Linked DNA regions of Mus musculus. The protein of the gene in region 1 purifies or fractionates together with the protein of each later gene. This does not show direct contact. Links are inferred from orthologs where the notes say so. Each region holds a gene or a part of one and is shown on either strand. Other genes may lie near its edges.

Region 1 (4,168 bases):
GCACTGCTCTGCTCGCTAGAGCAGAAACAACTGAAAGCTGTTGGCTTCTCCTTAGTAACACACACAGAATGCACTCAGTAGTGTGTGTCACACTACTGAGTAGCCTGTGCAGATCCCACCGGTACCACCTACAGCAAGAGGGCCCTTTGTGTTTCAGAAGGGAAATGAGGCCTGGTGAGGAAGGTCAGACAGAGGACAGGGGCTTTCTGCCTGCTCAGGGCAGTTGCAGTGAGTCCAGCTGTGAGTTCCAGTGCGCCCCATGAGCAAGCACCCTGAGCTTTATAGGTCCTGGGCCCCACCCCGAGTCCTCCTCTGGAGCCAGCTGGCCCAGCAGTGCCCCACCAGCACTGAGATGGAACTGAAAACAGCCCTCCTTTAAAGCAACACCTGTGACAGCCCTACATCATGGCCTATCTGAAGATCTCTGGCTCGGGGCCTGTGCCCAGCAAGGAAGGGGATATATGGAGACCTGACACAGCAGGGGCCAGCTCTTTGGCACTGCAGCCTGGCAGGTTGACAATGGCTGAGGCAGCTTCATACACCACCATCTCATGCTTGTTACGCAGGCAGCTCTCGATGAAGTCAAACAGCGGGCTGTCACGGCTACCAAAGAACAAAGCAACAAGAAGTTGGGGACAGTCCAGCAGTGCAGAAGGCATCATCTAGCTGGCAAGAGACCAGCGTCCTCACCTGCCGTCTTCTTCCTCTAGTTGCTTGCTGGCCACTCGGATCATCATGCAGTAGGCAAAGGGGGACTTGAGGCCGTGCCGGGTGAACTTACTGATCATCTTACTCACGGCCAGTCGGTCATTCTTCCGCACATGGTACAGAAGTCCTAGGGCATGGTACTGAAGGACAGAGGCAGCATGGGCAACAGACACAGAAGCCCTGGGAAGGGCACTGTGTGTCTCTAGCTCCATCCTTCTTGTTTAAGCACAGCACTCATGTCCACACAGAGGGGCTGGAACAACTCCCAAGCACTCCCCGTAACCAACTCCAGTGTCGTGCCCAACACACTATCACATACATGATGTTCTCACTTGCACCAGAGTTCTGGACCCTGCAGGTATCCTGACCATGTGAGAGAAGACACCAGAATAGAAAGAGCTGCAGCACACAGCTAGGGCAAGATATGAGCATAGTCCTGTGGGACACAGAACACAAACCCTTCCAACACCTAGAGGACTGGCCTGCTTGTCCCTACTTATTTGTCCCACTGTGGTCAAGCTGGCTTTGGAGGTCTAGAAGCCCAGGGACACCACTTTTAGAAATGTAAGTTACCAAGGTCACTTCCCATTCATTCTGTCCATTCTTAGTCAAGTGGCATGTGAGGGCCAAGGTATGGCAGGTGTGTGTACTTTCCACGTAGTCAGTGCTTCTGACCCTTAGAGGTGTACACTAGAGCATCATTACTGACCCCAAAGACATGATCCACACAGAGTGAGGAGAACAACAATCACTGAGGGAAAGGGACAAGCCTCCTTCCCATCCCTCATTGTGTATGTCTTCTCATTTAACCCTTGCTCTTCCAACGTTCCAGAGAAACTGACGCTCAGAGAGAGGCATACCAGGTTTAGGTTACAGAGGAAAGTTTCTCAGATGGAAACCCCATGTCACTAACAGAACCAGCTCAGCAAAGGTTTGGACTGTGGTGGCCATCGGCCTACCTAGGCCAGGTGGGTTGTAACAGCCTGTATTCCAAAACATTCCCATCTATCGTTCAATAGACTTGGTTCTATCAGCAGCATCCAGTGAGAAATCCTTCCTAAACACCCATGTGCTGCCCTGGCTGCTTCTCTCCATGTCCCCATCTCCCACACCCAGTGACAAAAGAATAAGAGCCTGTCCTGGCCAGAGGCCACCAGAACTTGTGGAGGTTGGACAATGACAGTGTGCCCCTGTTTGTTTTCAGTGTCCCTCTCACCTGGACCATGATGTTGTCACTGGACGCCGCCTCCTGGGCCTCGTTCACCCAGCGCTTGACCACATCGAAGCTGCATTTCAGCAGGTGCTGCGGGCAGTGGGACTTGTTAAAGGGTCAAAAGGAAAGGTGCCCTTCTTGTCATACTCCTGTCATCTCTCATATGCAGCCAGGCCCTCCTCACTATCCTGAGCCCAAGCCCATGAATGGACAGACAGACAGCTGTCAACCCTCACTCTTCCCGCCTGGCAGATTTCCTGTCTGATGCCAGTCCTGACAACCTACCATGTAAGGGGTGGGTCAAAGCCACTCACCCCAGCTCTTCCCAATGAACCCAGAGTGTCTGATTCCCCTCTGACAACGGCCTCAGACATTTTATTCTACCTTCAACCCACCCTTGCAGGCCCCAGTCACAGCTATGTACCAGGGAAGACACGAGGGCGGAGCTGGAGACACTGGGAACCTTGTCCACAATTGCTTGTTTCATGTAGCGTTCAACAGCCTGCAGCATGGTGCTCTGTGGTGGGAGAACGCGGGCTCAGACGTAGAAGCAACGGGGTGCAGAGCAAAGCAACCATTTCAGAAGCTCCTACTGAGTCAGTCCCTCCCACCCGGCTCCTCTACTTGATTCAGACAGCTGCAGACAGCCGAGAGTATGCTCGAGAGCTTGGGAAGCAGGTAGAGATGGAAGGACTCACGTCAGTGATCTGGCAGAGGGCACGGACAGCAGGACCGCGGTAATTATCCTCTTTCCCAGTCATGTCTTTTGTCAGGCTGCCGGGGAAAGGAGGCACTGTTGACATGCGGGGGTCATAGGCCATCCTTCTTCTCTAGTCCACACCACCACACCAGTGATGTGATTACCACACCAGTCTGCTAGCTACTGCTCCCTTCTGTTCTCACCCCTCCAAGCCAAACAACAGCTCCAGGGAGTTTCACGGAATTCAAGACAGACTACATGCTTGCAATCCCAGCACTCAGGGACAAAGGCAGGAGGATCGCCATCAGCTCAAGGATTCATAAGCAGCAAACAGAGCAGTGTCTCAGTGAGATGCTTTCCTCTGCAGGCCTCTCACCTGCCACTGCTCAGCCTGGACCTTTCTCCTTCCCAATCTAGCTCATGCTGGAGATCTTCTCTGATCCAAAGTCAAGCTGTTGTCTGAAGGAACTCTGGCCAGCCTGAGCATGGTGAGCATGGCTCTGGCAGCCTTGGCCCTTCTCCCCCATCCCTTCTGCCTTGTGAAAAGCCACTAGATCACATTTCTAAAGCTATCTGCCAGGGATCATTCCTTGTTAGCCACATCCTCCTACTGAGGCTGACTACATAGGTCCAGTAATCAAAAGCCAGCTTTGGCTCACCTAATTAACATGTCCAATTACAATTAAATACCTCCTCCTAACACTTTCCCCCCTTTAACTTTATTACTATTTGCCTATTGGCCATGTCTGTCTCCTCTCTATCCAGGACGCCACTCCAGGACAACCATCCCTGCCCCTTCTCCCTTGTTCCTTCCCCTTCTCCCTCATCTTCTGTCTGTCTCTTATTCCCTTTCCTCTGTCCTTCTGGAGCAAATAAATCTCCTTTATGCTAAGAATTTGGTCTTCCGGGTCCTTCTGTTCTGTTTTCATAGTCTTTTACAGTTCCATAAACCATGTTAGAGCCCCACTGCCTGATTATTTGCTGGTAAATCCTAAGGCTACAGAGACTGTGAGTTATATAACAGTTTCCTCCGGGACTGAAGCATTCCATCCTGCCGGACAGCACCTCAAACTCTCTGTAGCTGGACTGACAGACGGGTTTATGCCTCCTGATGTGGATGCTAAGAAATCAGCCAGAGATCTTAACCCCTGAGCTATCTTTCCAGCCCCAGGAAATATCAATGCCCCTGACTCTGGCTGTATGGTCCCTCTCCTCAGATAGCAATGTCAAGAAGAAATAGAAGAACTGGGTAAGAGGCAGGGATGTTGTGTGGTTTTGTTTTATTTCATTTTTTGGAGACATCTTGCTATGTAGCCCAGGCAGGTTCAAACTGGCAGCCATCCTCCTGTTTCTCCCAAATGCTGGGAGAACAAGTGTGCAGCACCAGGTCCAGCTGTGACTCTCAGTTCTCCAGGACACGGAGTATATATTCGTGACGTCTGTCCCTAAATTACTCAGCCTAGCGCAGAAACCAGTACTGGCTAATAGACTTGCTCATTAACTTCCTGCACCCTGTTTTTCTTTTCCTTAGCACTATCTAAAGACTT
Region 2 (4,168 bases), on another chromosome or scaffold:
CAACAGTGATGTAGGGGTACTAAAGTGGAGACTACAAACAACAGAGGAATCTTTTATTCCGTTGACAAGTAGGTATCTGTGATGGTTTTTTTTTTTGTTCTTTTTTTTGTGTGTGTGATTTTTTGAGACAGGGTTTCTCTGTGTAGCCCTGGCTGTCCTGGAACTCATTTTGTAGACCAGGCTGGCCTCGAACTCAGAAATCCTCCTGCCTCTGCCTCCCGAGTGCTGGGATTAAAGGCGTGCGCCACCACACCAAGCTGTGATGGGTATTCTCTTACCTTCATTACCATAGCAAGTTCTTTTTGGCAAAGTGGAATTGATGCTATTACTTTGTATATTTGAATTAATCGTTTTAATTTTTTAAAAGTATATGTGTGTTTGAATGAATGTATGCCACCTATTAATAGGTGCCTGTGAAGGCCAGAAGAAGTCATCAGGTCCCTGGAGCTGGAAGTACAGTGGTTTTGAGCCACCAGTGTGTAGTTTTATGTAGGATGCTATAGATTTGTTGGTCAGCTGTACTTTTCTTCTTCTTCTTCTTCTTCTTCTTCTTCTTCTTCTTCTTCTTCTTCTTCTTCTTCTTCTTTTTTTTTTTTTTTTTTTTGTTTGGTTTTTCAAGACAAGGTTTCTCTGTCCTGGAACTCACTCTGTAGACCAGACTGGCCTTAAACTCAGAAATCTGCCTGCCTCTGCCTCCCAAGCACTATAATTAAAGGCGTGCTCCACCACTGCCTGGCGGCGGTCAGCTGTATTTCTATTCTTCCATACTCTTGATCTTAGCCCAAAGGCCAAGAAATAGTTCTACTCTTTTTCTAAAGCTGAATTGTGATGGCCTTGTTTTTCTTCTCAGTTAATTGCTGGCCTTCGGAAAGTGGAAATGGCTGTGATGTCAACATAGAGTACGAACTACAGGAAGATAATTTAGAGCTCAATGATGTGGTCATCACTATCCCACTCCCGTAAGTGAAAGTCTCTTAATAATCCTTATCTTGGGTTAATTTGTAGAGCTGGTTCCTGGGGCTTAGAGATGAATTTTTGAGGCAGTACCTCACCGTATATCCATTCTGAAATGTTGGCTTATTTTCTTCCCCCTGAAGTAATACTGATTAAACCTAGAGGCTTAAACACAGCAAGAGCTCTACCACTGAGCTATGTTCCCAGTCCTCTTTGTACCTGTTTTGAGACAGTTTCACAATAAGGCCAGACTGCCTTTTAATATCAAGAGTAGCTAGGATTATAGGTCTGAAGCACTAGGCATAACTGATACTCCTTTTTCATAAATACCAGTTGTGCATCACTCTGGAAGCAGAGGCTTTCTTGAGTCAAGCAGAGGCAGCTTGGTCTACAGAGCAAGTTCCAGGGCTACACAAACCCAGTTTTGGAAAACAAAAATAATTAGTTGACTAAAAAACCAGTTGTGAAGCCTGGTATGGTGGCATAGGCCTATAATTCTAGCACTTGGAAGGTAGAGACAAGAGGATCAGAACTTTGATCCTGGGCTCTGTGTGACCCTGTTTTGAGGGAGAAAGGAGGTGGGGTGGGGATCATGACTAATGTAAAAAAGAAGGTAGAAACACGCGGCTTTCTAGAAAAGGGTATCCTTTTTGAATAGAAATCCAGAGGTAGAGAGTAAAGTACTTATGGGAAAGGGGCAGGTGGTGAAAGGGTCCTGTGATTTTTTTTTTAATATTTATTTATTTATTATATGTAAGTACACTGCAGCTGTCTTCAGACACACCAGTCAGATCTCCTTAAGGATGGTTGTGAGCCACCATGTGGTTGCTGGGACTTGAACTTAGGACCTTCAGAAGAGCAGTCGGGTGCTCTTACCCGCTGAGCCATCTCACCAGCCCGGGGGTCCTGTGATCTTGTAGACAGTGTGCAGTTGTCAATGCACGGAGATGTGTGCTTTGACTTGTTTGTTGGGTTTGGTTAGAATGAATTTTTTTGAAACGGTCTCACTATGTAACCCTGGCTGGTCTGAATTCCGAGACCCACCTTCCTCTGTCTCTTAATGTGATGGTTAAAGACTCCCACACCATGTTGAAGTGAGCTTTACTTTTTTTTTTTTTTCTTTTTTGAGCTGTACATTTTGAAGGGGGGTGGACTGTGCTTTGAAACCAAGACAAATGAATTGTAGTGCTAGAGTTGCTTTTTTGAGTTAGGCCTCACTCACTCACTCACTCTGTAGTCTTCCCAAGGCCAGGAGGATGAGGCTGTTCCCAGTCACACTTCTTTTGCACATTTCAGAGAAGCTTAGTCTGCCAGCCTGTGCTTTCCCTTCTCTTTCTCTGAAGGGAGGAGTGTGTTTTAGATACAGTATGCCTACATCAGTTTTATTAAGTTTTCTAGAAGCTTTAAGTTATGATTGACAGGAAGCATGCAGTGCAGTAAGTTTTGACATGTATACACCTGGGAAACTGTCAGCACGGGCAAGAGAAACACGTATGTCAACCTGGGTGTGGTGGCTTACACACTAATCGCAGCACTTGGATGACCAAAGCAGAAGGATCCTCTGAGCTTGAGTTCCACGTCAGCCTAGGCTATGGAGTAAGACCCTGTCATACACGCATGCGCTTTAAAATTTTCCTTCCAATGATGTCTTGTGTAGTTCACTGGCATTTTCTCAAGGTCCTCTGGGAATATCATGTGTCTCCAGTAGAGTGTGCACTGTTACTATTTCAGCTTTTACCCTCATCCTCAGCCCTGCCTTAGGCAATACAGGGTTTAATTATGAGCCACAGAGTATTCGTATTGTTATATGCCTCAACTTTTATTGTAACAAAATAATTTTTGTTTTAAAAGATTTATTTATTATTATATGTAAGTACACTGTAGCTGTCTTCAGACACAACAGAAGAGGGAGTCAGATCTTGTTACGGATGGTTGTGAGCCACCATGTGGTTGCTGGGATTTGAACTCTGGACCTTCGGAAGAGCAGTCGGGTGCTCTTACCCACTGAGCCATCTCACCAGCCCCACAAAATAATTTTATATACAACAAAATAATACTTAATTTCTAGTTTTGTTTCCTTTGATTACTGAGGGATTTATCTTGGCCAAGTCTAATTTTAGTCATGCTTATTTCTGGGTTTTTCTCTCTTTCTCTCTCTCTCTCTCTCTCTCTCTCTCTCTCTCTCTCTCTCTCTCTCTCTCTTTGGTTTTTCGAGACAGGGTTTCTCTGTGTAGCCTTGGCTGTCCTGGAACTCACTTTGTAGACCAGGTTGGCCTAGAACTCATAGAGATCCACTTGTTTCTACCTCCCAAATGCCAGGATTAAGGGTGTGCTCCACCACCACCTGACCTTATTTCTGCTTTTTAAAATATGCTATATTACCATTGTCTTATTACTCTGGAGAGATACCATGACAGCTTAAAAAAAAAAGAAAGAAGGCATTTTTTAAAAAAATTATGTATACAGCATTCTGTCTTCATTATGCTTTCAGGCTAGAAGAGGGCACCAGATCTCAATATAGTTGGTTGTGAGCCACCACATGACTAATGGGTATTGAACTCGGGACCTCTGAAGAGCAGATGGTGGTGCTCTTAACCTCTAAGCCATCTCTCCAGCCCCCTATAAAGGAAAGCATTTAATTGAGGCTGGCTTACAGGTTCAGAGGTTTAGTACATTATTGTCATGGCAGGAAGTATGGTGGCAAGCAAGCAGACATGGTGCCGGAGAGATAGCTAAGAGTTCTACATTCAGATCATCAGGCAGCAGGAACAGTGAGCCACATGGCCTGGCTTTAGCTCCTGAAACCTCAAAAGTCCACCCCCCCAGTGACACACTTCCTCCAAAAAGGCCACATCTACTCCAATGAGGCCACACCTCATAATACTGCCACTCCCTATGGGCTTACGGGGCCTTTTTTTTTTTTATTCAAACCACAATGCCAATATTCGCATTAATAGGATTAGCCAGCACACCTATAGTTCCAGCCCTTGAGAGGCAGGAGAGTTCTGATTTCAAGCCTATGTTATACAAAAGACCCTAATTTGAAAAAAGTAAAATAATAGGGTGACTGTCTCCAAAAGTCAGTTGTTCTTTCAGAACAATAAATAGCTACCTTGAACAGTGGTAGAACTTGGGCACTGCTGACGGGTGGACTTTGTTTGTTGAGATTTATTTTCCTACACTATTTTTGGAATGCCACCATTTTTAGGTCTGT

What was found.
Region 2: the proteins of Copg1 (region 1) and Arcn1 purify together in Homo sapiens (affinity purification with mass spectrometry; 6 studies listed by BioGRID and IntAct, counting the BioPlex papers as one, with this or other methods). This does not show direct contact. The link is inferred for Mus musculus from reciprocal best matches to the Homo sapiens genes COPG1 and ARCN1.

The regions. Positions count from the first base shown.
Region 1 is NC_000072.6:87,890,476-87,894,643, reverse strand, and holds part of Copg1 (coatomer subunit gamma-1), read right to left. Parts: exon of another isoform or gene 3,885-4,168; intron 2,696-3,884; coding exon 2,620-2,695; intron 2,439-2,619; coding exon 2,346-2,438; intron 2,012-2,345; coding exon 1,925-2,011; intron 849-1,924; coding exon 691-848; intron 604-690; coding exon 470-603; intron 1-469. UniProt on the Homo sapiens protein: The coatomer is a cytosolic protein complex that binds to dilysine motifs and reversibly associates with Golgi non-clathrin-coated vesicles, which further mediate biosynthetic protein transport from the ER, via the Golgi up to the trans Golgi network.
Region 2 is NC_000075.6:44,747,116-44,751,283, reverse strand, and holds part of Arcn1 (coatomer subunit delta), read left to right. Parts: coding exon 1-68; intron 69-850; coding exon 851-959; intron 960-4,168. UniProt on the Homo sapiens protein: Component of the coatomer, a cytosolic protein complex that binds to dilysine motifs and reversibly associates with Golgi non-clathrin-coated vesicles, which further mediate biosynthetic protein transport from the ER, via the Golgi up to the trans Golgi network.